3 linked regions of the Kluyveromyces lactis genome follow. Each later gene encodes a partner of the first gene's protein in a complex. Links are inferred from orthologs where the notes say so. Each region holds a gene or a part of one and is shown on either strand. Other genes may lie near its edges. The genes, in order: RRP4, SKI6 and RRP46.

Region 1 (9,609 bases):
CTGGTAACGAAATAAAAGTGATGCGGAATGAGAAGATGAAATGTGCAATTGTAAAACCTGTTAACGTATTAATGACCAAAAAAATGATTAGAACCCAAAATATAGAAAGGAAATGAAATGATATGTGTAAACCGTCAAGTCTATGTCACTTTTGTATCTGTTTTGTATCTGTTTTGTTTGTGAAGGACAAGTGTATCTTTGCCGTATTTCAACAGAGAATCCTTGAAGATCTCTTTGCTGATACTTTATCTGAGAGATAGAAAACCGCTTCAATAGTAGTATAATCTGACTGCTAGAAGACCTCGATAATGGACACTAAATGCCTTCTTATATATGTATCTCAAACTTGGACAAAACCCTCGAGAGTGATAACAGAGAACGGATGACGCACAGAAAAAAGTGATCAGTAGAATCCCAAAACTTATAACTGCCAACTCTTAACCAGCCACAGTGTACAGACCTTGCTCCGTAACCCTGAAATACCAAAGGAATGAGTAACCGAACGTCCACTCCCTGTCTCGTTGCTTTCCCAAGAGAAGGTTAGTCATTCTGAAGGCTGCATCTTTCAATTTCTGTTGCCTCGAGGGCGAGACATGGAAATGACTCACAGATGGCAACATCTGGTCACGTGGACAGAGTAAAGACAAACGGATGATAAAAGAGATGGACTGAGGGACACTGGGCCAGTGACTTGTTTTGGTGACTGTTTTCTGCAATCATGAGAGTCACTGGTATGTTGCATTCTATTTACATTGCAATTATGTATCAAGATAGTTAGATAAAGGCTAGTGACTGTGGTAGTTGGAAACTAACACAGAACATTGGTTTCGTTGGAGCGACTTTTCTCACTAAGTGGAACTGGAACTGGTTGAACGGAAGCTCTTGCTCAGTGGTCTTCATTATTTGTAGTATTTGTTGGTAGACCCTTTCGTGTAGTTGTTCCATGGATGGTTCTGGTTGTTCTTCCGCATCGTATTTATGGAAACAATGACAATGGATCCATGGGGTTTGGAACTGTTCGCCGTGTTCTTGAACCATCTGTTCGTATGTGAACCCGTACCTTGAATATAATCCGACGAATTCATCAAGGAATTGAAGAGCACTGTCAGGTAAGTTCATCACGTAGTGATCGAAGAACTGGTTTTTGATTGGGATCTTGGTTTCAGGAGTACGTTTAGTTTCTCCCGTGACTTTATCCTTGTACTTCTTACCTCCTGGCACCGTGATGACTCCCTGTACCCTTTCGATGAATTGTTGTAGTAGCTTGGGACTATCTCTGATGAATTCGCGGCCATCGAGGTTCAATGGTTCAACGAAGTTACCCACCTTATTGTCGATGATATTTTGCTGCATGTACTTGTAAGATTCTGGGTTCAAATCGTTACTTAGAACGATGACCTTCTTCTTTCCTGCTGGAACTGAGAATGGCCCCACCCCAGCAAACACATCACCAACTATTTGGCCCGGTTTGAATAGACTCACTAACCTTGCATGTTCTGTATGTAGTCTTGAGTTCCAGTACACTTTACTGAAATCGAAAGTGAATGAACAATCAGATTCCCTTTGAGTCACTAGCAGGTTCGGTTCACCCGCTAGGACGTTCATTTCGAAAGTTCTGAATTTGGTAGCAATGGAATCCACTTTATCGACCACGGTCTTGATCGTCGAATTCTTGTCCAAGATGACTTGTCCAATTATTTCACCAAACGGTTTGAACTCTTTCCTTAAATTCAAATGAGCTACGTGTCCCACAATAGTGAACCCAGTAGGAATCTCAGCAAGGTACTCCTCTGGTAAAATTGCATTTAGAATCTCTTCCACTTTCCAGAAGTCATAATCTAGCACATACTCATGGTTTCTCAACTCATACTCTTGCTCATCAAGAAATTCTAGTGCATTGGAGGTCAACTTCCCTCTCGCCTGCGAAACATCTTGTATACTGTCTTTTAGTATGATACCTTTGGTTATATGGTTGTCATTGGCCAGGGATTTGCTTTTCTTCTGTACTGGCTCGACATCGTTCTTATCAGTATCTTCTTTTGGTGTTTCGCCAAGTCTTATAACGAATGGAATTCTTGGTGTCCTTAATATATCGTCCTTGAACTTCTTGGTGAAGACAGAAATATTCTTTGGATTCTTCAATAGCAATACAACAACAGGAAGCTTCTTTACGAATAATGATTTATCTAATTGTTTCATGCCACGATGCACTGGTGGTTCATATTTGAACGTAGTTTCAATAGCTCTACTCATTGTTCTTCGAAGCACTAGGCCAAACCTCATAAAACTAGTCCTCCTCTATCCTTGAAAAATGGAGCAAAATAGTGTGCTATCACTTCACCAAATAAAACGCTGCCTGACGGTCGATCTTTGCTGCAACATTTTTACATCTTTTACAACGCTCATCTCATCTCATCTCATCGCTCTCTTATTTAATTTGGAAAATTTTCAGTTAACTAACACCAAAAGTAACAAAGGTACAGCGAGGAAGTCAGCACATCGAACGCCTTCTGCAGTCCCTGACATCGTTATATCATTACTTGGAACAATGAGTGATGTTATTAGTGTTATCAATAGGAACGAATTTTGGTCTAATGGCCGTTTAGAACAGGATGAATATGAATCAGATTCCAGCTCAGGTTCAGAGCAAGAACATGACATTGAGATGAGCGGTGCTCACGATTCCAATGGTGGAATAGACCATCAGGATGGGTCTATTGTCACACCTGGTGAATTAATAACCGATGATCCTATATGGATGAAGGGTCATGGTACTTATTTCTTGGAAAACAAGACATACAGTTCTGTGGTTGGCACAGTATCGAGAGTGAATAGATTGCTATCCGTTTTACCATTAAAATCTCGTTATATTCCCGAAACAGGTGACCACATCGTGGGTAGAATCACTGATGTTGGTAATAGAAGGTGGAAAGTGGATATTGGAGCCAAACAGTATGCGGTTTTGATGTTGGGTTCTGTTAATTTACCAGGTGGTGTATTGAGACGTAAGTCAGAGACAGATGAGTTGCAAATGAGAAACTTCTTGAAAGAAGGTGATCTACTAAACGCTGAAGTCCAATCGTTGTTCCAAGACGGTTCAGCTTCATTACATACCAGATCGTTGAAATATGGGAAACTAAGGAATGGTACGTTTGTTCAAGTCCCAAGTTCCCTAATAGTGAGATCTAAAAATCATACACATAATCTTCCAGGGAATGTCACCATTATCTTGGGTGTAAATGGGTTCGTATGGATAAGGAAATCCTCCAAGATGGATCTTTCCGGTAAGACCACTACTACAGGTTCAGGACAATCTGACCATTTACCAGGATCCAACAATGCAATGTCGGTTTCCATTACAAGATTGGAAGAAGAGAGTTCTTGGGAAATATATTCGGATAAAAATGATACTGTTACTGTAAGCGTTAGGCAAACAATCACAAGATATGCAAACGTAATTAAGGCGTTAGCACATTGCGAACTCGGTATCACTGAGCCAAGAATAATATCCGCATATGAGGCTTCAATGGCTTATGGTAACTTGGGACAGTTAATTGAATCGGAGACGATGGAGTCCTTAGGTCAAGACGTCATCAACTCAGAGAAGATGAGGGGAGCAGCATAGGTTGTAATCGGTAATATTAATATTTACATGAAGTAGTATTTTATAAATAAAGTGCATAATATTTACAAATAATAAAATCTTTTCGATAAGAGTACCATCATTTGGATGTCTCAGATGTTGGTTTATTATGGGTAGCTTGTAGCGAGTCTTGCTTCTTTCCATCGTTTGTGAAAGATTCAATTCTGCTCTTAACACTAGCACCAAGATACTTTTCAAAGAAGCCAATTTCTTCTTTCTTCTTACCGTCACCTTTACGCTTGGCAACAATACACCATGTCGTACCGAAATGTGTTCTTCTTTCTTCGACGACATCCAATCCAGAATCGTCAAGGATTTCTCCGATATCCAAGTTCCATCTACAACCCCATGTCTTTAAACGTTTCTCAGCTCTATCGTCAAGAATTTTGTTGATTGTATCGTATGAACCTCTTCCGTGTTCCAAGAGAATGATTCTACCGCCAGGTTTCAACAATTCAGCAAAATTCTTCAAAGATTTTACAGGATCGTGATGTGAACAAAGACCAAACGCTTCAACAATAGTATCATACTTAACAGGTGTCTCCTTCGAGTTCAAGTCGATCAAATCTTCCGCTTTCCCTACAACAAATGCACATTTCTTGAAATTGGGTAGTGCTTCTCTGAATTTTTTATTTGTGATTTCCATCATCTTTTCCGATGCATCCAAGAATGTGATTGAGTTGATCTTCGTTGGGTCTAAATATTTGATATTCCTACCAGTACCACAAGCGACTTCGAGAACATCTCCTTTACAATGTTTCATGAGCCACTTACGTCTTTTACCCATTCTGATCATCATTTCTTCAAAACTCACACCCTCATCGTACTCTTCTGCCTTCATTTCATAGAAATCAGTGGTATCCCTAGCAGGTAGAATTTTCTCGTTAATCTTGTTTTGATCGTTGTTTTCCAAGGTAATCTTATCCAAATTCTCAGTCCCATCTTTCTCTATAATCTTTTGGTATTGTTTCAATTTCTCCACATCTCTTGTTCTTAACGTATTTTTTAGTTCCTTATAGCGCAACAACTCATATTCATTTGCTACTCCCATATCAATCTTTGCACTAATATCTTCTAACTCCTTGTCCTTCTTATAAAGCTTCTTGGTATAGTTTAACCCATATAGAATGAACACCACATATGCGGCAAGAATGTATTTCGTTAAAGCTTTCGAAAACTTCTCGGACCTTGCAATGGCCCCGTACCTAATAATCCAGTTGTCAGATTTCAAATCCGCTTCATGCTTCTCCCTAGCAATCTGCTCCTTTGATTTAGGCTTCTTGTAAACGGAATCTGGAGAAGGTATGTATGTACTTTTGCAGCGTACAAGATCAAGAACCTTATATCCCGAACCTAAGCTTGGCCCACATTGCGTTACTCTCAATGGCCCCCGCAAGAAATTGCGTCTGACAGCAAACATTAGTGAAACAGATCACAGGTGATTCTTGAGACCCTGTTAAAACAGACCAGAAGACCATATCGGAAGGCTGTTTTGTCGGTTCTTTTGCGTTAACTCAAGATAAAGAGAGAGCGAGATGAGACGGTTTCGAGGTTGAATCGATCTTGAAAAATTTAGAATATCACGTGGTACAATTGGGTTGAGTGAATGTCTTAATAACCAAGTGGTGTTGACCCAATCCAACACCACTGACAACAATGAATTCTCATGCAGTTGGCTCAGACTCGAGGTTATGAATATATACAGATATCTATTGTTTTTATAAAGTGTTCTATTCGCTAGCAAAAGTGGCAGCGACGACTAATGGGAAAACGACAGTGGCATCTGCATAGACCTTAACGGACTTAGCGTCTGCTTTAATCTTACCCCAGGAAACAGCCTCATCTGGTCTTGCACCAGCATCAGAACCGTCAAATTCTTGACCCGTGTTGATATAAACAGCGTAATCTGCACCGTTTCTCATCAAACATGCGTTTGCGATGTGATGTTTGATTAACCCACCACCAAGGATAATCATACCTGCCCGTGATGCTTCCATAGACATAGAGTTAATCTTACGAATATCAGAAACAATATCTAGTCTCAACTGTTTAGGAGATGCCTTGAAGGTATGGAAAAACAACATATCACCAATGGAACCATCGGTGACAGCAGGACAAAAGATTGGGATATCGTTCTTATAAGCCCAGTATAGAACACTGGATTCATCGTTGATCTCTTTACCTAACCTACGGATCAACTTGGAAGGAGTCCATACCGGAGAGTCTTGATCGAAGTTGCTATCCAAACAGTCTTTACCCTGAGATTCGACGTAGTTTTCTTGTTCTTCAAGCATCTTGTCCAAGATTGGAACGATCCATTCTTCAAACTTACAATAGTTGTCGTTAGGAACCAGCAAATTACCAATACGGTTCATACCTTGGTCACGTAACCCTTTACCAGGTAAAGAAAACTCACCAAGGTAAGTGTCAGCCAAACACTTGATGATATCTTCTTCAACACCGCCTGCAGTTGCAACAATGGCATCGACCATCTTATTCTGAACCAAGAAACGTAAAGTCTCACGCAAGCCAGAAGAAATCAAATTCGAAGTGTAACCCATAAAGATAGTAGTCTTTTGGTACCCATCATTGTCAAAAGAACCCTTGCGGTCATGTTCTTCCAACTTGTCACGATGTTCACCTCTCCAGGATCTCATCTCATCGATAATATCGCAGGCTTTTCCCAAAGAAGACGCCTGGAAGCCCATAGTAGCCATCGATTTAATTAAATCCTTAGAACGCATGTTGCGTGATTCTGGTTTGCTGTAATCAATACCTTCGACCTTAACAAAATTATCAGGCACTGGAACAGATTGCTTCAACACAGCATCGCTTAAGATGTCAGGTAATTTACCGTCAATGTTGGACATCTTTTCGTTGTAAGTTAGTAGGTAAGTTGGTAGAGCACTTCTTTCTGAACAATGAAGCTCCAATCGCCTAAGTATAATGTGGTGAATCAGGTTATAGATCAGAGTTAATACCGTCTTGTTCTTACAGTTGTAAAGTTCATGCGGTGAGAAGTGAAAAATTCCTAAAAGGTAAAGCCTTTTAGTTTTATAAATCTCTAATCTGGTGACGAGATGACAAGTCAAAGAAACGATGCTGCACCACGATTAAACACATGACCTACTTTTTGGGTTTGCCTTGGTTCTTTGTGTGAAACTATGGTATGACTCTATTGTTCGTTGGTAGAGGCAATGCTAATGTTTGCTATCTCCTTTCTGGTGAAGTGTACCGTATCAGCTTAAGGCACCAGAAACTTTCCAGGAACAATGCATATGTGCAGGACAACTTCCAGTTTATCGATTCCAAGATCAGGTCACTTCCTATGTTGGCCGATGTGGTTGTTTCCATGAGGTTAGAAGAGGTGTTTGTCGATACAAAATGGATTAATGTGTTGAAAGATGAGAATATCTTAATCGATGATAGTCATATGCAATGCATAGTCATGCCTTTATTGCATGCCAAGGATAGTACATGTGAACAGTTGGACCATTTCAATCAAATCTATCGATGCTCATTGAATGATGCTATTACTTGGGAATTCAAGCCAAAGTGGTTGTATCAATCTAGTGATTATTGTAGGAATTGTACACATAACTCGCTGAAGGGAAGAGATATTGAGTACTGTTTTTTACATGATCCGGAGCTGATTATCGAAACGCTGTTTGCAGGACGCCAAGTGCCAGAAGAATTTCTTGATGACATTCTGCAGTATCTCCAATCAAGTGACAGTATTACACAGAGGCTCTATGCTGCTCAGCGTTTTGTGAAAGATGATTTGTCAACGCTAATGACGCTAAGAGATGTGACCTGTTTCTTGACCTGGTCCCGCAATACAAGGAGCGTCAAGGCTACGATAATAGATGTTGATCAAAAACCAGCAAACAAACTGCGGCATTGGCAGAGTACTGAATCCGCTCTTGCATCTTTCCCAGGAAAGAAGAAGGCTCATTTCAACCACCAATGATTGTACTTTTACTCTATATGTATACATGAAGCTATCTTACACTCAAAGTAAACCTTATGTGAATCCTTAGGATCTCTCAATATTATACTGATTTGACCATCCTTCCCGAGTCCATTGTGACAGATTTCAAGATCTGTGCCAGCATACACATGAGACGTATTCTTGTATTTTATGCTGGAGACTTGTCTTCCAAAACATTGTTCGAAATAGTTGATCACCAATTGAACCAAAAACGGGCCCTGTACTATAACATCACGGTATCCCTCTACGTTGCGCGAATAGTCCCTATCCCAATGTATTCTATGAGGATTCGAACTGATCGAACTGTAAACCATGACATCGATATCTTCCAAATTGATGATTTCTCGGGTACTGTAATCTTCGGACTTGGTTATTACTTTATCTGAGACTTTTTGATTAGTATATATCAACGTTCTTAACTCTTTAACATATAGGTACCCCTTTTCGTCTCGTATAGTTCTCTTCAACCCTACGAAATGGTCTTTGTTCAGTTCTTTGATGAATTTAAGTTCTTCTTGACAATTGTACCAGCCATCTGTCAGTGATTTCTTGAACTCAATTGATCCCTGAACCCACATGCGACGCCGAAAGGGCACTTCACGTTTCAATATAGCACCAGGAGTCTGGTACGAGTAGTATCCGTCTTCGCTGAGGGCAGCTGTTACTGGATGGAAGAACAATAAATGTGAACCTGAAAGCGATATATCGTTTGATACTTTTGCTTTTGGCAAGATAGATGTAACCAAAGTCTGATACCTCTGTACCGTCACCGGATTGATGTAATCACTGATATGCCACTGCATTGCCGCGAAAACTAACAGCTATGTGGATATGGTTGGCTTTTAAGGATTCCCTTTTTTTTCTATACTGTTTGATGTGAGGTTTACGATTGAATGCCCAACAGTTTTAAATTCATTCATTACTTGTTTATGACGATATACAGGTAAATAAATTAAATAAGATGTGAAGTGGGATACAGTTCTATCGAGTTGGTAGTAAACACTACTGTGCATGATATCGTGAAGCTGATTGGCAGTCTAATTGACTGGAAAGTCAAGTGCAAAGTGAATTATCGTAACAGCAACTACAGTGTTACAGTGCAAATGAGAAAAGCATGATCGATTGTTGATAAGAAGTGAGTAATGGAGTTGCTTAGTTTCGATCCTTTTAAAAAGCCAACATTGGTAAATCTTTCACTTCAGTCTTTCCATCGAGCACTCAATTAATAAACTCAAGGCAAATTGCTCATCAAAATAATCCATGTCACTAATTGTAATACATTTCGTATTCGTAGAGTTAATTGAATGTTTCAACCACTCCTATCCTATCCAAGCAATAAAAGTCAGTCGTCTGGTCATTTCTTTGTCTTCTTGAACGTATATATACGTAGCAAGATGGTAAAACATGAAATTATTTCTGTGATCCACTGGATAAAAAGACATAGGCGAGTAGCCCTATGACAACGTACTTCCAGTTTTTCTGAAGAAACGTTTTGTTCTCTACAACATCTTCTTCAAATGCAGCGGTCCCTGTATCCTTTCTCTGAGCTTTTTTCTTTGCCTCGTAAGTCAGAGTTCTTTTCTTCAACTTGATACTTTCCGGTATGGGACCATTTCCAACCTCCTTTATCAGTGGTACGATGCCATCAATACTATCATCTGCATGAATCGACATACGAACTAGTTTATCATCAAGTACCACCAGCTCCAGTTCGTATGACAATGGTTGCTTTATATGGATGAAAGAGAAACACTCATCGTAATAATCTTGAAAAGTCCCACAAACTTTATATTCACCGTCTGTAATTCGATTGGCTGTCACAGCCAGGTTAATACCTACCTCATCACCAGCTTCGAAAGTTGCCAGGCTGTACCTTTCATTCAAATTGTTCAATAAGTAAAGATCACCAGTACCTTGTAGAGATGCCACTACCGCACGCAAGTGAAACAGAAGTATTAGTAACAATTGAATCATT
Region 2 (8,323 bases), on another chromosome or scaffold:
AAATATATATAAAAATTATGCTTACAGTTTCAATTGTTCACTTCATCAATATTTAATACTCAACATGATGTGTGAGATTTGCAATCCTTTTATACCACTAGCATTCCATTAATTTGAAGCTGATATTTTCGATCTAGACCATTCTGTTTTCATCATACTATTATCAATAAGGGTGTGTTGGTGTGTTCAAAGAAACCTGGTTTTCTGGCTCGATTTTTTATTAGTTGCACCTATTCAGTTTCTTTGCCTAGTCTTTTCATTGAAACCTACTGAAAAGTTCAAGTGTGTCTAGTTTGGCTTTTCTGAAAACAGTTAATTGCACTTTATTGCTTAACCATCTTTTTGAGTTCACTACCGATTTCAAAACTGCTGTGCTAGTGTGACGGACACATTCCAAGTACAGGTCTTCAATCCATTCTTTTTTGTTCCCCGCACCATTATCAAAATATAAGAAAGTGATATACTCACCATCTGGACCTACTTCGCTGAACGTGTACTGTCTTCTGATAAATACAATCAAAAAAAAAAAAATATATTACCCAAGTATAACCCCGCATGTCTTCTTCTCTTCAGTTTAAAAAGGTTGCAGGTAGTGATGGGTCTTCTGCATGGAACACCAATGACCAGCAATATAATGCGTTCGTTCATGAAGGAGATACTGATACTCCGACTTACGTTAAAACATTCCAAAACTGCGTTCGTATATTGAAGAAGTATGCCAGGTTTGTGGGTCCCGGATTAATGGTTTCCGTTTCATACATGGACCCGGGGAATTTCAGTACCGCTGTGGCAGCAGGTTCTGCGCACAGATATAAACTTTTATTCTCTGTTCTGGTCACCAATATTCTAGCAGCATTTTGGCAATGCTTATGTGCTAAGTTAGGTGCCGTCACCGGATTAGATTTGGCTCAAAATTGTAAAAAACATTTACCTCCGACCCTCAATTTGGTTCTATACGTGCTAGCTGAAGTGGCGATTATTGCTACTGATCTTGCGGAAGTGGTTGGTACAGCAATCTCCTTGAACATCCTTTTCAAGATCCCGTTGCCACTAGGTGTCATTTTAACAGTAGTGGATGTCTTGGTTGTGTTATTGGCATACAAGCCTAATGGATCCTTGAAACTTGTACGGTGGTTCGAAGCCTTTGTTTCGTTACTCGTGTTTGCAACAGTGGTTTGTTTCGCAATCGAGTTATTCTCCGTCCACATCGACTCTGTAGGTGAAGTGTTTAAGGGATTCCTACCGTCAAAAGCTGTTTTCGAGAGTGATGGTTTGTATCTAAGTTTGGCAATTCTTGGAGCTACAGTTATGCCCCATAGCTTATACCTCGGATCAGGTGTTGTTCAACCAAGATTAAGGGATTACGACATCAAACAGGGACATTACATTCCATCACAAAATGATGAAGATAATAACCATGATAATTACAAACCTTCTATCGATGCAATCCACGACACATTAAATTACACAATGGCTGAATTATTGGTTTCATTATTTACTGTTGCCCTATTTGTTAACTGTTCGATCCTAATTGTAGCTGGTGCCACTCTATACGGGGTAACTTCAAACAATGCGCACGAAGCAGATCTTTTCTCCATCTATAATCTATTATCAGAAACTCTTTCAAAGACTGCTGGTACAATTTTTGTCTTGGCCTTACTATTCTCTGGGCAATCTGCAGGTATTGTGTGTACTCTAAGTGGACAAATGGTCTCGGAAGGATTCTTAAATTGGACTGTTGCTCCAGCATTAAGGCGTGCATTGACGCGTGTTGTTGCTATAACACCATGTTTGATTTTAGTATTGGTGGCCGGTAGAAACGGTTTATCAGGGGCTCTCAATGCCTCACAGGTGGTTCTCTCGTTACTATTACCATTTGTGAGTGCTCCATTGATTTACTTCACTAGTAATAAAAACATTATGAGAGTTCCTTGGGCTATAGATTGTTCTCAAGAACCGTCAAACTTATTTGCATTACAGAATTTGTCTTCCAGTAACTTAGCCACAGATGATGCTACCGTTATTGCTCATGATACTGATGATGAGGTGGACGCTCATCTAATTAATTCCCCTGAACCTCTATCAGATGAGTCTGTTCATTACAAAGATTTCAGTAACAGCATTTTCACTACGGTTGTTGCTGTCATTGTATGGATCTTCATCTCCGGTTTGAATTTCTATTTACTAATATCTTTTGCTAACGGTCAGGACGTCCATTTGTAGAGTGATTATTTCTTTCATACTAAAAATTAAAAGATATATATATATAAATGCATAGAATATTAGTCAAATTTCACATACTGTACGTATTATTACTGGCAACATTACTCCACCAGTATTTTCATCGAGGAAGCTTACCATATTTGTTTTAATATACATCATCCATCATGGTACCTTACTTTAAAAGATTTGACCTGTCTCTGACACATTTATTTTTCAAATCTGCGTTTCAAGGTAAATTTCTTGTGATCTTCGTGTCAATTTAGATCATTCTTTTAAGAAAAGTAAATTAAATAATAAACAAAAACCTTGGGATTAAGTTTAAGCCACTTTAATGAAAGTTAAGGACATCAAGAGGATTCTTTTATGGACGACATAGCAAGGCAACACTATCAGGATAACGCGAAAATGAGTGATAACATTACTAGGCATAAGTCCCAGAGATGGGTTAGCGCGTCAAAGGCAAACTATGACGGTGCTGATTGGGATGCCTATTCATCTAATTCTGAGGATGAGGGCCTAACGAATAATATTCCGCAACTACCACAGGTAAATATTCCTGAATCTAACAACATTGCAAAATCTAGCTCACCTGATCCATCAATTGGCACCTGCCTAAGATCTGACTCTCTGAATACATCTGTAAGATCAGGAAATAAATCTGTCAATGATGATCTAGATTCTCTAATGCATCAAATATCTCAAGAGATGACTGCAAAAGATGAGGACGTTAACAATACCAGTGATCCAGAGGATGAAGATGATGCAGAATTGAAGGTATCGAAGACTGGCTATTTTGCCGCATACGTAAACGATGAAGATACGGATGACAGAGAATCTGTTAAAAGTGATATAGAATCGGCCAAGCTAGCTGAATCTGCTACGGAGATTAACAAAACAGATAATGCGAAAGCAGAATCGGTTAGTGAAGTTGAGTCTGTAGCAGAATCAGTTAAGAGAGCTAAGGTTGAAGTTGAACCTGTCCAGATTGTGAATGTTGGGGAAGAATCCTTTAAGGGAGATGATTCTGAAGCAGAGTCGGTTAAAAGAGCTGATGTTGAAGTGGAACCTTTCAAGATAGTCAGTGCAGAGGAAGAACCCCTTAAAGGAGATGATACCGAAGTAGAACTTTTCAAGAATGCTGCTTCTGAAGTAGAAACTAGCCAAATATCAGTGGAGTTGCAAGACGAAATGATTGACCCAACAACTGAAATTCCTTCTAGAATACAGGGTGATGTTGCAATTTCAGATGACAAAGGCAGTAAAGACGCGGTAGATGAAGATAACTGGTCCAAATCAGACAGTCATCCAGAATCAATTGGAAGTCAAGATAAAGAAGAGATGCCTCCAAGTTCTATTAATAGTCTTCCGTCAGAATCCCAGTTGTCTATTCAACACTCAAAAGAAGGAGACAGCAATGATTCTGATTCACTGCTAAATGGTTATGGTTCAGAACCAAGTTTGATGAAAGACAATGCGTCGCCTGTAAAGCTTCGTAAAACATCCAAAACAGACCTGTCATATCACGACGGGTATTCATCAGAGTCTTCTGGCGAAGAGAAGGAACGTGCTATTTCCGAAGTTAGCCTGGGACAGTATGTTGTTCATTCTGCAGAATCTTTTAAATTCAGAAACCCTGTCAGGAACTCTGTTCTCGATTCAAGCGATGATGACATAGATTATACTGATGAGGATGGAGATTTAGAAGTCACTAAAAGTGGCTATTTCGCTGCGATGGTTGATGAGGACAAGGAAATCGACGATTCAGATAGGCATACATTGAATAACAACGATACAGATGGACTGACAGCTGATAGCGATGTTAATTCGATAACGGAGAGCGTAACGAAACGATTGAGTCAATCCTCTATAACCCAATCGGACGTTCCAGATCAGAATTCTGAAAATGACGTCGGAGGATATTCTGACAGCTCTGAAGACGAGGAAGACGGCCCACAGAAATTAGCATTCTCAACCAGGGAGTCAATCAATCTAGGCAAGTGGAAACCAGACACCGATGCATTCCGATCTGGTTTTGTTACTGAGACCATCGATATCAACAATCCTCCCGAAGGATACACCGTAAATGAGGACGGGGAAATTGTTGAAGTGAACAAAAACACAACATCCAATATTCAACGCAATTCATCGGTAGCATCAGACGGAGAAAGTCAATTTAATGCTTTTCCACATGACGTTGCATCAGATGATGACGACCTCAAGACGATTGCTGACACTAAAACAATTTATGACAATCAAACCATATATAACGTTCCTGCTCTGATTGCCAATAATGCATCTGCTCCGGCTCTCCCTACGAACATACAAATTACCAATGAATCTACTGACTACGTTTCTAGTAACGATACTATATTCAAACACGTGAACGGTGAAGCTCCAAAAGGTGAATCAAAATTAAAAGAAGCATTCAGTTCTGAAGGAGATGAAATTCCATCAGTGGTTCACCAGTCAACTGTCCCGAATCTAGACTTGGTCAAGCTTTTAAGCAGTAATGAGCTTCACTCCCAAAAACTAAAAAAATTAAACAATTACAAGGAACAATTAAAAGAATATGACTCCGGACTCCAGAGCTGGATCCAATATGCTTTGAAGTCTTCTACCACATCTGATAAGGATTTTATCTTCAAAGACTACAAAGTCAATAAACATGTTCAAGATGCTTATGCTCAAGCGGATATTTTGAGTAAAAAGAACAGCGTCGCAAATACGGTGAACCAAAATGTTACACATTTGAAGAAGAAGATGTTTTCTAGCAGCATGAGAGAAAAATCTAAGGGGTTATTCTCATCTATAGGTAAAAAATTGTAGTTAAAGGCAAGATCCGAATTGTAGAATGCATTTATGTTTACATGTTATGTGAAGTTTATAATTAATGGTTTAAAAATCAATTCGAAGAGTTTTCAACTCTTGTTTTTCCATGCTTTCTAAGCTCCTTATCCATTAAATCTCTAATTCTGTGAGTGCCTGCTATTCCGATGGCCATGACACTCTCAAGTCTATCCAAAGGCACTTTATCTTCCACCATTAATAAAGATAATTTTTCTGATTTACCAATTGTGCCTATGGTAACACTGCTCATTGCATTTTCCTCAAGCGAGTTAAGGTCTAGTAGTGGTGTAGTATCATAAAGTCCCACTGAAACCCCGCTTACAAAATCATACATTGCGATACCAGCATCTATCAGAGCCAATGTTATTCCATTAAGCATTGCCCCAAGAATCCCACCATCTAACTGTAGAGCATGAACTTGAACGTCAATTGACGTACGAGGATAGAGATGAAGCATCAAGTTCTTTTCAAATGTACGCACTAACGAAGCTTGCCATTCTAAGGTTCTTCTTTCATTCTTATGGCTTGATTTGCTTCTTTCCATCTTGGCAAACTTCGTTAAGTTAATAGTAACGGATAAAGTAGCTTGTTTCGTATTGACTTGTGACCTCGAGGATGGTTCTTGAGGACCAGCAACTAATGTGATAATCTTATTGTTACCTTGTTCCAAGTACGAGGATCCATCTGCAGCATTCGGGTGAGTGTTGATGGAACAGTTGAAACTTCTTAGCTCATTCCAACGACGACCATCGACACGCAATCCCTCTGGAGAATATATTTCAAAACGTGACATTATGTTACTCTGTTAGTTAAAGTGGGTTTTCCTACACGCTAGCTGGAGGGGCTAATTTCAATCTGACAGCCTCTGCTTTGAATGTACTTCTTCTAGTAGATGTCGATGAGCTCATATTTCACTTGTAAGATTCAAAACTTGAATACTTTTTTTTTTTCAAATTCTATTTCAATAATCAGTATGAAGAAAACAGCAGCGAGTGAATCTGACAACGGATATGAAATTGGATGAACGGAATGGAACATCAAAATACTCGTCAGGACTTCGATCGTGGCTTTGAAAATGTCACAGTACGCTACAGTATATGCTAAGTTAAAATTATATATTCTTCTTATGTTGATTGTCTTGGAATGACGTTCTGGATTTGATGTCAGTGATAAAGACACCGAGTAGATAGACGTTGATGAGGAAAAACACTATATTGCCAAAGAATAAGTTGGGGAAAAATACATTTTGGCCTTTGAATTCAAGTAGATATGCTTGTGAAAGCCATACGGCTTGAGACAATATCCATAAAAATATACAGACCACACCTTTTCTCCATGTAATGGTTGTATTTGCGAAATAAAATGGGGATAATACCAAATACCAAATGAAATATTGAGAAGTGCATACTTTATTGAAAGTAACGAATGCGTATGTTTGTACGAATAGGACATTCATTAAATTTTCGAACGTCTGTGATTTCCACAATAGATAAGGTAGTACTGCACATAGTGTCAATTGAGGAACGAATGCCAGCTTAGATAGTTCGATAGATTGGGAAAGATGAATACCAGCAGATTCTAAGAGTAAGACCAGGTTCCAAATCGAAAAATTGTGTCTGTGGTCTGTTCTCGTGAGATGGTACATGTACGAGTGTTCGATAAATTCGCTCCCGTAAAGCTTGTACATGAAATACGTCGGCGCAGTTATGCCGATTAGCGTCGATATCCCTATCATGAACAATCGCCAAATGCAGTTTCTATTGTGACTCGACAACAAGAGATATATTCCGATCGGTAGCGCATAGATTATCGGATAGATCTTGAAATGAATCGATAACCCATAGAAAAGTCCTGAAATAAGTAACCTGTCTCTTTTCAAAAAGTATAAAGCACATATGATCAAAAAACATAAAACCGATTCAGCGTTTCCTCGAGTACTTATCGTTATAACAATCGGGTTCAATAACCAAATAGAAGCTAGAATTAGCTGTTTTGTCAATTGACATGAACCTTGTAATAGTTTTATGATCATCACACCTGTAATGAGATCAAATAAAACAAAGAAGACTTTCCCCATATGAATCCACTTTAGATAATAATTGGGTAGTAACAAGAAGCTCAATAAAGGTGTGTACCTGTATGTATCACGCAAATAAGGGGATTGTCCATTGTTAACGTAACCAGCTGCATCATGAAAGACAAAGTAATCGATATCAGTATATTTAACGTCAAAATGCGAGTCTTGGAAAATACCGTAAGAAAAGAATCCAATTCGAAGTAGTAAAGAGACTGTTAATAATAAGATTACTTTTCTATGCATTTCCTGTTAGTAAAATGGCGGGCTTCAAGCAAGCAAGCAGTCGTTATGATCTTCAGATATGATTTTATTGTTCGAAATGTGGTTCCCCAAGGTTGGTATGTAATGCCAAAATCATGGCATTATGTTGAAAAAGTACAATTTAAATATAAAGTCACTTAAAGGTTTCTCGGAGAATCAAAGATGATTATAAGTAAGATGGGAAACCGATGAAGAGAACACCTAAATCGTCAAGGAGCGCAGTTGGTTTGAAAGTTTTGCCTACTTTTCACTAGGATCCACCAAAGTGGAACTATTTTAATTAAATCATGGAGAATAAGGAGGAAGCCACCGAGCTCTCTTATGATGAGTTGATGGATATCATTGTTAATAACAAACCAGTCCCAAACGTAGTGGATGTCCCAGATATCATACTAGACCAATCTTTGGCTACAGAGCATCACTTGAAACCACGGTTGAAGCCATGGGAGCAAGCGAAGGATGTGCCTGTAATGGGAGGTTTAGTTAGACAAAAGGAAGAGACCAAAGGATTGGCGGAAAACGTGGAACTAGTCAAGAAGTCAAATTCACTGGAGAAACTGACAAACTATTACGCCTTAGAGGTTGAGTTTCAAAAACAACTTAAAGGTTATGAGAGTTCTACAGGACTGAAAGGAAGAGGTAGGAGCTCTGCCGCACTTTCTGATCAAAGCTCAAATCACACCGACAAGGTATGAGTCTTTCTAGAAGTAAAGAAGGCTCACATAGGACTACCTTTGTAAGGCAAGGTCTTTAAAACACTTTAATATTTGATATGACTCGACGATTTAATTCAATCCACATCACCTGGACGAAGCAACTAGAAATTACGAAAACTCCGATACCTATTTGTCTCCCTTCTTCTGAAACACAAACTATATTCTTTTGCCAGTAGCAGCTTATTTCGGATAAGAAGTG
Region 3 (10,677 bases), on another chromosome or scaffold:
CATGTCGGTATCCTCATCGGCATCGCGAGAATTACCCTTCAAAGCCAAGGCTTGCGAAAGCAACGGATTAGAGGACATTTCACCAACTTCATCATCAGCAGCTTCTTCATCCTCACCCTGAGTCTTGGATGACTGAACAGTCTCCCACGATGTTACCTGGCTGGAGGGTTTCATCGTGTTAATGAACTCTTGTAGTTGCTTGTTCTTGGCTATCTCAGCATCTATATCGTGCTTCTTCCCACCGTCATTATTGGAGTCTGATTTCTGCTTTTTCTGAGAGTCCTTCTTATCCGCAAGAAGCAACTCCTCACGTTCTCTGAGCCTCTTCAACGCTTCTCTTCTCTTCTCTCTCATGGGCTGAGGTACCCTAGGATCAGCAAAACTCTTAGCCATCGACACTTCGATCTTGGAGGTATCGACAAAAGTTCCATTGAAATAGTTCACACAATCAAAAGCGTCCTCCTCGTCACGAAACCCAATGAATGCAAATCGTCTGGATTCACCATCCCTGTTCTTCATCAACTTAACATCACTGAGGTAGGACTGGACATCGGTACTTTGATGTTTCTGAGTTAACCTCTTCTCAATCAAATCCCTTAGACGATCCTCTTTGAGATATATCGGCAAACCTTTCACAATAACACGAGACATATTTGGTTTCTGGGTTAAAGTCTGGCTGAACTTGGTATAGGTGGTTGATTTGGATGGCTACACCCACTGCAAACACAGTAATACTTGTCTTATAGAGGTGATGAGATGAGATGAGATGAGCTAAAATTTTCCAGATGCCTTAGAAAAAGAAATACGGTCACGTGATAAACAACTAGGGCCACACGTCCATCAAAAAGGCTTAAACAATCGCCAGGGCTGCTCAAACCCTTTCCACGCCATCACTCAACCCAAATTGTTCCTCCAGATCTTTTCATGCCCTTGTATTGACTTGCGTTCTGTATCTACATCGAACGTCAGAATTTAAATCCGACCTTATTTACCACTCATTGTCCAAAGCTCGAATGTTAAATCGTGATTTAAGGCAAGCAGACTACTTAATATCTACAATAACTAACCTAGCATCACCATTGACTGCATTTCAATCACTTTGTTCGAGCTTTATATTAACTGTCGGTCACTGACACTTATGACTAAATCGACTATCCTGCATAAAATGCGCTAAAAAGAGCTCTTTTGAAAAGAATATTCTCAGTTACACATTTGAAAAACAGACTCATAACACTAGAGTACCTTCCAACCACTATAACACTGGTAAATGTCCATTATTGACCGTGGTTCCCCCCCTTCCTTATCTCTATTTTCACCCCTTTGTACAGAGTTCTCAGTGCCAACTGACAAAAAATTTTCCAACATTGAAACCAAGAACTGAAATTAAGAATTTGATCAACTAATGACAACATGATCGGATGATGGCAGTTACGGATCTCCTAGTTGTTTGTTGCGTTACTATTTTGGTTACAACTTAATGTTGAGGTTGTTTCCAACGCGTACATTCAACTTATTACGAACTCAGTTGCTGCCCACGTCATCGTTGAGCATTACTATTCGAAAAATGTCTACTGAGCCAAAGCAAGACTTACCACAAGTCGATGAGAAGACTGGCGAGATCATCATCAATCCATTAAAGGAGGATGGTACTCAAAAGAGTCCGAAGGAGATTGAGAAGGAGAAGAAGAAGGCTGAGAAACTATTGAAATTTGCTGCCAAGCAAGCCAAGCAAGCACAGAACCAAGCCGGACAAGCCAAGAATGCAGCCAAGAAGGAAAAGAAGAAGAAGGAAACGGAGCCAATCCCTGAATTTGTGGATAAGACGGTCGCAGGTGAAAAGAAGATCTTGGTTTCCTTGGATGATCCAGCTTTGAAGGCTTACAATCCAGCCAATGTCGAATCCTCTTGGTACGAATGGTGGAACAAATCTGGATTCTTTGAACCAGAGTTCACTAAGGACGGTAAGATCAAGCCAGAAGGTGTGTTCACTATTCCAGCTCCACCACCAAACGTTACTGGTTCTTTACACATCGGTCATGCTTTGACTATCGCTATTCAAGATTCTTTGTGTAGATACTACCGTATGAAGGGTAAGACAGTGTTGTTCTTACCAGGTTTCGATCATGCCGGTATTGCTACTCAATCCGTTGTTGAGAAACAGATTTGGGCCTCTGAGAAAAAGACCAGACACGATTACGGTAGAGAAGAGTTCGTTGACAAGGTCTGGGAATGGAAAGAAGAATACCACAAAAAGATCAAGAACCAAGTGAAGAAATTGGGTGCTTCTTATGACTGGAGCCGTGAAGCATTCACTTTGGATCCAAAACTTTCTAAAGCCGTTGTGGAAGCCTTCGTTAAATTGCATGAAGAAGGTATCATCTACCGTGCTGCTCGTTTGGTTAACTGGTCCGTTAAATTGAACACTGCTATTTCTAACCTTGAAGTCGAAAACAAGGACATTAAAGGTAAAACTCTATTGTCTGTTCCAGGTTACGATGAAAAGGTGGAGTTCGGTGTTTTGACTTCTTTCAGTTATCCAGTCGTTGGTTCCGATGAAAAATTAATTGTTGCTACTACTCGTCCTGAAACTATGTTTGGTGACACTGCTGTCGCTATTCACCCAGACGATGAACGTTACAAGCACTTACATGGCCACTTCGTTCAACATCCTTTCTTGAATCGTAAAATGCCAATTGTATGCGATGCTGAAGCCGTTGATATGGAATTCGGTACTGGTGCCGTGAAGATCACCCCTGCACATGACCAAAACGATTACAACACCGGTCTTCGTCACAATCTGGAAGTTATCAACACCTTCACCGATGATGGTCTATTGAACGAAAACTGTGGTCCTGAATGGGAGGGCACTAGGAGATTCGACGCTAGAAAGTTAGTTATCGAAAAGTTAAAGGAAAAGGGTTTGTTCGTTGGTCAAAAAGACAACGAAATGACTATTCCAACATGTTCGAGATCTGGTGATATCATTGAACCATTATTGAAGCCTCAATGGTGGGTCTCGCAAAAGCAAATGGCTGAAGAAGCCATCAAAGTTGTTAGAAACGGTGAAATTACCATCACACCAAAGTCTTCGGAATCTGAATATTTCCATTGGTTAGAAAACATTCAAGATTGGTGTATCTCTAGACAACTATGGTGGGGTCACCGTTGTCCTGTTTACTTCGTGAACATTGAAGGTGAAGAAAACGACCGTAACGATAACTCATTCTGGGTGTCAGGTAGAAACTTGGAAGAAGCCGAAGCTAAGGCAGCCACTAAATTTGCTGATAAGAAGTACACTTTGGAACAAGACGAAGATGTTTTGGACACCTGGTTCTCATCTGGTCTATACCCATTCTCCACTTTAGGATGGCCAGATAAGACTCCAGATATGAGCCAATTCTACCCAGCTTCCATGTTGGAAACTGGTTGGGACATTCTTTTCTTCTGGGTTTCCAGAATGATCTTGTTAGGTCTAAAGTTGACCGGCTCTATTCCATTCAAGGAAGTATTCTGTCACTCTTTAGTTCGTGATGCTCAGGGTCGTAAGATGTCTAAGTCCTTGGGTAACGTTGTTGACCCATTGGATGTTATCTCTGGTATCAAGCTAGAGGATCTACATGCTAAATTGTTGCAAGGTAACTTAGATCCAAGAGAAGTCGAGAAGGCAAAGAATGGTCAAAAGGAATCTTACCCACACGGTATCCCAGAATGTGGTACTGATGCTTTGAGATTTGCTCTTTGTGCATACACCACTGGTGGTCGTGACATTAACTTGGATATTCTCCGTGTTGAAGGTTACAGAAAGTTCTGTAACAAGATCTACCAAGCTACCAAGTTTGCTTTGTTGAGATTGGGAGATGACTATAAACCACCAGCTTCTGAAGCTCTTTCTGGCAATGAATCCTTAGTTGAAAAATGGATCTTGCACGAATTGACTGAAACTGCCAAGAATGTCAACGAAGCATTTGAAAAGCGTGACTTCTTGAACTCCACCTCAGCCATCTATGAATTCTGGTATTTGGTCTGTGATGTTTACATTGAGAACTCCAAGTACTTGATTCAAGAAGGTACAGAAGTTCAACAAAAGTCTGCTAAGGATACCTTATATATCTTGATCGACAATGCATTGAAAATGATCCATCCATTCATGCCTTTCATCTCTGAAGAAATGTGGCAACATCTACCAAGATACGCCAGCGAAACTTCTCCAACTATCGTTAAGAGCTCATACCCAACTTTCAAGGAAGAATTCCACAATCCAAGCGCTGCTAAGGAATACGAGCTAATCTTAAACGTCACAAAGGATGCTCGTTCCTTGTTGGCACAATATAACATCTTGAAAAACGGTAAGGTGTTTGTTGAATCTGCTAATGAATCATACTACTCCACTGTCCAATCTCAAAAAGATTCTATCGTCTCTTTGATTAAGGCAATCGATGAAGTTTCCGTTGTGAAATCTGCTGCTGATATCCCACAAGGTTGTGTGCTACAATCTGTCAACCCAGAAGTTAACGTGCATGTGCTTGTGAAGGGTCACGTCGATATCGATGCAGAAATCTCCAAGGTCCAAAAGAAGCTAGACAAGACTTTGAAGTCTAAATCTGCCATTGATAAGATTGTCAACAGCAGCGATTATGAACAAAAGGCCAATGACCAAGTGAAGCAATTCAACAAAGAAAGATCAGAGCACGCTGCCGCTGAAATCGAAACCTTGGAAGCTACCATCGCTAACTTGGAAGCATTGAAGTTGTAGAATTGTTTTGTTATTTGTCCAATAGATTAGATTACTCTCTCTGCCGCTGCTAATGCGAATTATATAAATGCAAATATATATAAATTGTATATAAAGATGATAACGTTAATTATAAAGTTAATTTATAAAGAACCATGGGTGCAGGTATACCCACTACTGTCTCCAGACGAAATCTTTGGCGACTTTATCCTTGATCACTGATCTCAACTCTGTGTATAACCGTATACACTCTTTCTCACCTGTTTCTAACACTTTAAACAACTGTGACTCGTCAAAGCTGCCTAAACTATCAAGAAGAAGCAGGTTCCTGACATCTATATCCCCGTTCTCATTCGTGCCCAGCTCTAGACAGTATACGTGGACCGATTCACATTTAGCTAGCTGCGATTCTGTTGGGTTCACCACCAGCTGCTTCCCTTCAGTGGTAATACCAATACAAGTACCAGAACACATACTGAGTAACGGTACACCAGCATCCACCAATGCGAGCACCGCTGCGTTAACACATACACTGACTTCTTTCACAGTATAATCCCTGCTTTCTCCCGCTTCTAATACTTGGAGACATATCTGCACAAATTGACGTGGATGCAAGTATCTCGCAAGCACTGGGGTCAACACAGAACGGATCTGATCTTCCATTAACTTTTCCCTCGTACTCTGTACGCCTTCAGCAGGCTTCACGATGATCTCTAATGCAAGTTGTGTGGGCAACTCTTGCCTAGACTTAGGTTCCATGGGTCCCGAAACAGAACAGATAACTTTAGTTCCGCTGTTTGAAACAACAGAAGAGCCATCAACATGGCCCAAAACATGCGTCGTAGTCTCCATCTTGGCTAGAAAATTACTATAGGTACAATATAACAATCAATACGCAGTCGGTATAGACGGTAATGAGCCACTACAGTCCCTCTTTCCCCATCTTTTGAATGTTATGTCAGGATGAGATGAGATGAGCTTCAAATTCAGAAATTTTTCACTTTTAGGATACGCAATGAATAGATATGAAACTAAGAGGTTGGAGATGCAATGCAATTGATGTGCCAGAGACCCTTTTAGCAGGGCATGTATGTGGTAATTTATAAATAAGGAGATTGTGTGTAGGTCTGGCTTCATTTAAGTTCTGAGAAGGGAGCGAGAGACCAGCATTCAGTGAATCTTCAATCCATCAAGAGAGAGGGATTTATTTAATGACGAAGAGAGAATGAACACTGGCATAAGGAAAGACCATCTCAGGAAAGGTGAAACGGTATCATGGTACAATTCAGTGATTGCTGGTTCTGTTTCTGGGGTATTTGCTAGGATGGCAACTGCACCAATGGATACTGTAAAAATACGATATCAGTTACAACCGGTACAAGAGGACAAATATAAGGGAATTGCATCTACTGTGAGAACTATAATGAAAGAAGAAGGACTTCGAGCGTTATGGAAAGGAAACATCCCGGCGACGGCGATGTACGTTGTTTACGGTGCAGTACAATTCGGATCTTACTCGTGGTTCAACAACGTTTGGTCTGCGAAGTTCCCTCGGTTTTCACAGCAGGGACAAACGCTAACGGTCGGAGCGTTGGCAGGAATGACTAGTTCAGTGGTATCTTACCCGCTAGATTTGCTTCGGACAAGACTTATAGCAAACAGAACGAGCCATCGGACCAGTGTCGCAGAGGAGTGCCGACAAATGTGGCTCAATGAAGGTGTACGAGGTTTTTTCACTGGAATATCCACTGCGATGACAACGGTTACTTTATCCACGGCTATCATGTTTCTCACATATGAGACCGTGAATATAGTCTGTGAAAACCACGAGAAAGAATTCTGGTCGCGACCTGTAAGTGCTAGTTCAGGGATCATCGCAGGGTTTGTATCCAAGACGATGGTGTTCCCCATTGACACTTTACGTCGCAGAATGCAAGTGATGAACTCTAAGAGAACAGTTCATTTCACCAAATTCCCTGCTGTTTACCACGAGTACAGGTATAAATCATCCACTGCAATTATTTACAAGATACTAAGACAGGAGGGTGTATCAGCGTTGTACCGAGGACTTACAATGGGACTATGTAAATCTGTTCCAACGACAGCAATCAGTCTTTTCGTGTATGAACGCACAATGGATCTCTTTGATCACGGACAGCGCTGGGGGAGATCTCCATAGGACAACTGTGGATATATCTCATACCAACGGAGGATGTTACAGAGAGCGTGTTTACCTCCAGTATATAGTTGATGTAGAGGAATATCCTACTGTGTATAAGTCACGTGATCAATATCAGAATCATTTAATGATAACTTCCAAACGAATCAAAGCAACTTACCGATGGCTGATGCAAAAGAGAAAAAGAGACGACAAAACCAGTCGGTACGGCGCCACTTCTAGCTGCAATTGACGCGTAGGATCTAAGTACAAGTGGTAATTCTTATTTTTGGTGTTACTATTGCGAAGTTGTGCAGATTGTTTCTGGAAACTACTTAAATTAAGAGCCTCGACGAGTTAACAAGAATAATCTCGTGAAATAGTTTCAAATGTCCGCTGTCACCGCTAGAGATGTGCTATGGTACATCCCAAACCAGATAGGGTATGTGCGTGTGGTGACGATGTGTTTATCGTTGGTTTTGATGGCCAAGCATCCGTTGTGGACGATGGTAGTGTATGGAGTGTCTTGTTTGTTAGATGCACTAGATGGGACAATGGCACGTAAGTACGGCCAGATCAGTTCATTCGGTGCTGTGCTGGATATGGTGACAGATAGATCCACCACCACAGCATTGATCTGTTTCCTATGCGTGGCATATCCGGTATGGTCGCCCGTGTTCCAACTACTAGTTGCCTTGGACATTTCAAGCCACTATATCCACATGTACGCAACGCTAAGCACAGGGTCTCAATCGCACAAGGCCATCGAAAAGGAACAATGGCTTCTCAACTTATACTACACGAGACGTAAGGTGCTATTCACGATTTGTGCGTTGAACGAAATGTTCTACATGGGTCTATATATCAACGCCTTCCCTCAGTTCAAATCGTATTACTTCCCATTGCTTGGATCCACCCATATCGGAGCTATCATCGCGCTGGTGTGTCTTCCAGGGTACATATTCAAGCAGATTGCCAACGTCGTTCAACTAAACCGTGCTGCGTTGATGCTTGCCAATAAGGACGCAGCAGAAGCCACTGAGAGAAGAAGTGCAAAGAAGAACTAAGAGTTCCTCCCCATTTATAACTACCGAATAGAATTTACCGATATATATATATATATATATAAATACATCAATGAACTAGAAATCTAGTACTCTGAAAGTGCATGCCACCTAACGCCAGAATGTACGGTCCATAGCTTGCGTACTTTACCATATATCATCTTTGTCTCATCTCGTATTTTATGATGGCATCTCTCGAGCAGCTTTATGGAACAAATTACTGTAAATCCACATTCACCACTTCAAACGGAACTAGATCAGAAGGAGAAAAAAAGGCTTTGTGCTACTACGGATAGACCAGCAGCTGTGGTACTGTTTCCCTCGAGGTTGAGAGTTTTGTTGCCTGTTCAATAACCAAAGATGAGTAGTTCTTTGTTTAGCAGCGTCGTTCCAGCAGCTGTTTCCGAACAGATAGATCTGTTCACGACCTATGTGATGTCCTTACCTCCGCACCCTCATTTGACCGAGTACGTGATCCCATATCTCGAATCCAATGGATGGATTACTTCGAATGTGATTCTATCCAATTTACACACTGTGTTGTACATTGCCGTCGGGTATCATGCGCTATTCCTGTTATCTCAACGGGTCTTATTCCCACCTCTAGCTTCTTATAGGTTATCCTGGGATCCGGAGACTACGAAAGACCAACGTAAGTCTAAGGAAAAGCAGCATGCAGACCTTGTCAACCAGAGTGCCGTTCGTCTGGTGAGTTGGATCCAATCTCTGATCGTGCTTTATCTCAGTTTCGAGGCCATTGCATATAACAATGAAAAACCAGATCTAAACTCTCACGATCGTATCTTTGGCATGGACCCATATAACGTGAAGGTATGCGTTTTCGCAATTGGGTACTTCCTATGGGATATCTACATTTCATTGGTCTACTCTACCCTCCCATTCGTGCTGCACGGTTTGATCTCTACGGTGGTTTATGCTATTGGTTTAAAACCTTACATCAACTACTACGCAGGTATTTTCCTGATGTTCGAGCTATCCAATCCATTCTTGAATATCAGATGGTTCGGGATCAAGTACTTGCCACAACTGACCAAAGACTGTCAGACTGTCATGGCCAAGGTGTGTAACGTGATCCAATTGGTGAACAATGTCGTTTTGATCTTGATCTTCTTCTTGGCAAGAATCTGCTGGGGTTTCTACCAATTCTACCAACTGTGTACCGATTTCTACAACATCAGAAACGATCCAAGCTTCTTACCTCTCGAAACGGCCATCATTGTGACCGGTAACCTGATCCTTGACGTTTTGAACTTATTCTGGTTATCAACCATGCTTTCTGTTGCTGTCAGAATCATCAAGAAAGGTGGTAAAGTCCAAGATAAATGAAGATAATACAAAGCGAGCGACCGGCGAATAGACCCTCAGATTCTGAGGCTCGTCCCGCCGTGTAACATTCTGCCTTATAAACTTTTATAAATCTATTGAATTTAGATACAGAATCCCGAGAGATAAACTAAATATCCTTACGTACATCCAAATCAAGTTCTTGAATAAACTCTGACGATTTCCTGAAGCACACTATAGCAGCCTCCTCATGCCCTAAATTGCTATTCTTGGACCGTACACGGCTGAGCCCATGACTCTGTTTTGAGTTTAATCAAGAGAATGTACATAAATAGAATCGAAATAATTGGAATTTGAATCACACACATCACCACACCATGTCAACACAAAAACAAAGAAAGAAAGCCAAATAACACTCCTTAAACTCCCTGTACCGTCGAGTAACATAGATAATCAGTATTCACTGGAAGCACATAACATACCAGTGTGATACGAGTGGCAACGGAATATCGCTTAGCATTGTTGCTGTTGACTTTATAATCGGTTTATTTTAGGGACAAGGAACCAAGCTTTGATCTGTCATTATCAGCGATGGAACCGCGAATTGAAGAAACGGATACTGGATCACTGGCAGATAACTCATCAGTTGCTTCGTCGGATTCGAATTATTTATTGGATTTAGCTGATGAAACCGAGTATGAGGATATCTTACCCAAGACCAACTATCATTCTCCTTATTACGTGAACGTTCCGACTCCCAAGCATTCTCTCTTGGCAGGAGCTGGTGCTAACAGTGCCAGTGCTGGTGCCAATTCAGGAGCCGGTAATGCAAATATCAGTGCCAGAGCTGGTGCTAATGTTGGTGTGGGCTCGGGTGCAGGTGCTAGTGCCAATGCTGGAAAAGCTGAGGGATTAGACTTATATGATGATGGTACAGCGTCATTTGTGCGAGAATATCCTACTGATATCTTGGCGGATAGGTTTCATAAATGGCGGAAGATCTTGAAGGCGATGATCATTTATTTGAGAGAAGTTGCATATTCGCAAGAACAATTCGCAAGAATCAATTATTCCTTGAAGAATTCTGTGAAGTTCTCATTCTTGACTGATTTAGATGAAAGTACTAACAGAGTCTCAGATCCATTGACGAAGAATTTGCCACAAAAGAAACCGCAACCAATGACGCAGATGAAATCGCCATTTGACGAGAAACCGGATCCGTTTGCTGCCAGTAATGCTAGTACCCTGAACAATTCAAGTATCGATCTTGGGCAAGAGTTGCAACTGGAACCTAACGACAGTTGCTCTGGCGCTGGGTTCATGAACTTTGGATCAGGTTCTATACAGGACATTCAAGTTATTCTAAAGAAGTACCACCTCTCTTTGGCAAGTCAACAAGTTAAATCGAGCAAAGAGAT

Evidence for each region.
Region 2: RRP4 (region 1) and SKI6 share a complex: the UniProt entries of both Schizosaccharomyces pombe proteins name them as parts of the RNA exosome complex. The link is inferred for Kluyveromyces lactis from reciprocal best matches to the Schizosaccharomyces pombe genes rrp4 and rrp41.
Region 3: RRP4 (region 1) and RRP46 share a complex: the UniProt entries of both Schizosaccharomyces pombe proteins name them as parts of the RNA exosome complex. The link is inferred for Kluyveromyces lactis from reciprocal best matches to the Schizosaccharomyces pombe genes rrp4 and rrp46.

The regions. Positions count from the first base shown.
Region 1 is NC_006041.1:1,124,401-1,134,009, reverse strand, and holds RRP4 (exosome non-catalytic core subunit RRP4), read left to right. Parts: upstream 1-2,311; coding exon 2,312-3,625; downstream 3,626-9,609. Other genes in the region: TRM5 (tRNA (guanine) methyltransferase), read right to left, coding at 775-2,283; OMS1 (putative RNA methyltransferase), read right to left, coding at 3,723-5,063; DYS1 (deoxyhypusine synthase), read right to left, coding at 5,374-6,513; IPK1 (inositol pentakisphosphate 2-kinase), read left to right, coding at 6,813-7,613; hydroxyacyl-thioester dehydratase HTD2, read right to left, coding at 7,622-8,437; EMC10 (Emc10p), read right to left, coding at 9,045-9,609. UniProt on the Schizosaccharomyces pombe protein: Non-catalytic component of the RNA exosome complex which has 3'->5' exoribonuclease activity and participates in a multitude of cellular RNA processing and degradation events.
Region 2 is NC_006040.1:808,648-816,970, forward strand, and holds SKI6 (exosome non-catalytic core subunit SKI6), read right to left. Parts: upstream 5,864-8,323; coding exon 5,126-5,863; downstream 1-5,125. Other genes in the region: divalent metal ion transporter SMF2, read left to right, coding at 556-2,223; FYV8 (Fyv8p), read left to right, coding at 2,587-5,049; GPI14 (glycosylphosphatidylinositol-alpha 1,4 mannosyltransferase I), read right to left, coding at 6,182-7,390; KLLA0_D09669g (uncharacterized protein), read left to right, coding at 7,696-8,103. UniProt on the Schizosaccharomyces pombe protein: Non-catalytic component of the RNA exosome complex which has 3'->5' exoribonuclease activity and participates in a multitude of cellular RNA processing and degradation events.
Region 3 is NC_006040.1:1,261,846-1,272,522, forward strand, and holds RRP46 (exosome non-catalytic core subunit RRP46), read right to left. Parts: upstream 5,585-10,677; coding exon 4,907-5,584; downstream 1-4,906. Other genes in the region: RNA-binding ribosome biosynthesis protein MRD1, read right to left, coding at 1-651; VAS1 (valine--tRNA ligase), read left to right, coding at 1,478-4,753; thiamine transporter TPC1, read left to right, coding at 5,958-6,911; PIS1 (CDP-diacylglycerol--inositol 3-phosphatidyltransferase), read left to right, coding at 7,280-7,957; ALE2 (Ale2p), read left to right, coding at 8,315-9,301; KLLA0_D15081g (uncharacterized protein), read left to right, coding at 9,851-10,677. UniProt on the Schizosaccharomyces pombe protein: Non-catalytic component of the RNA exosome complex which has 3'->5' exoribonuclease activity and participates in a multitude of cellular RNA processing and degradation events.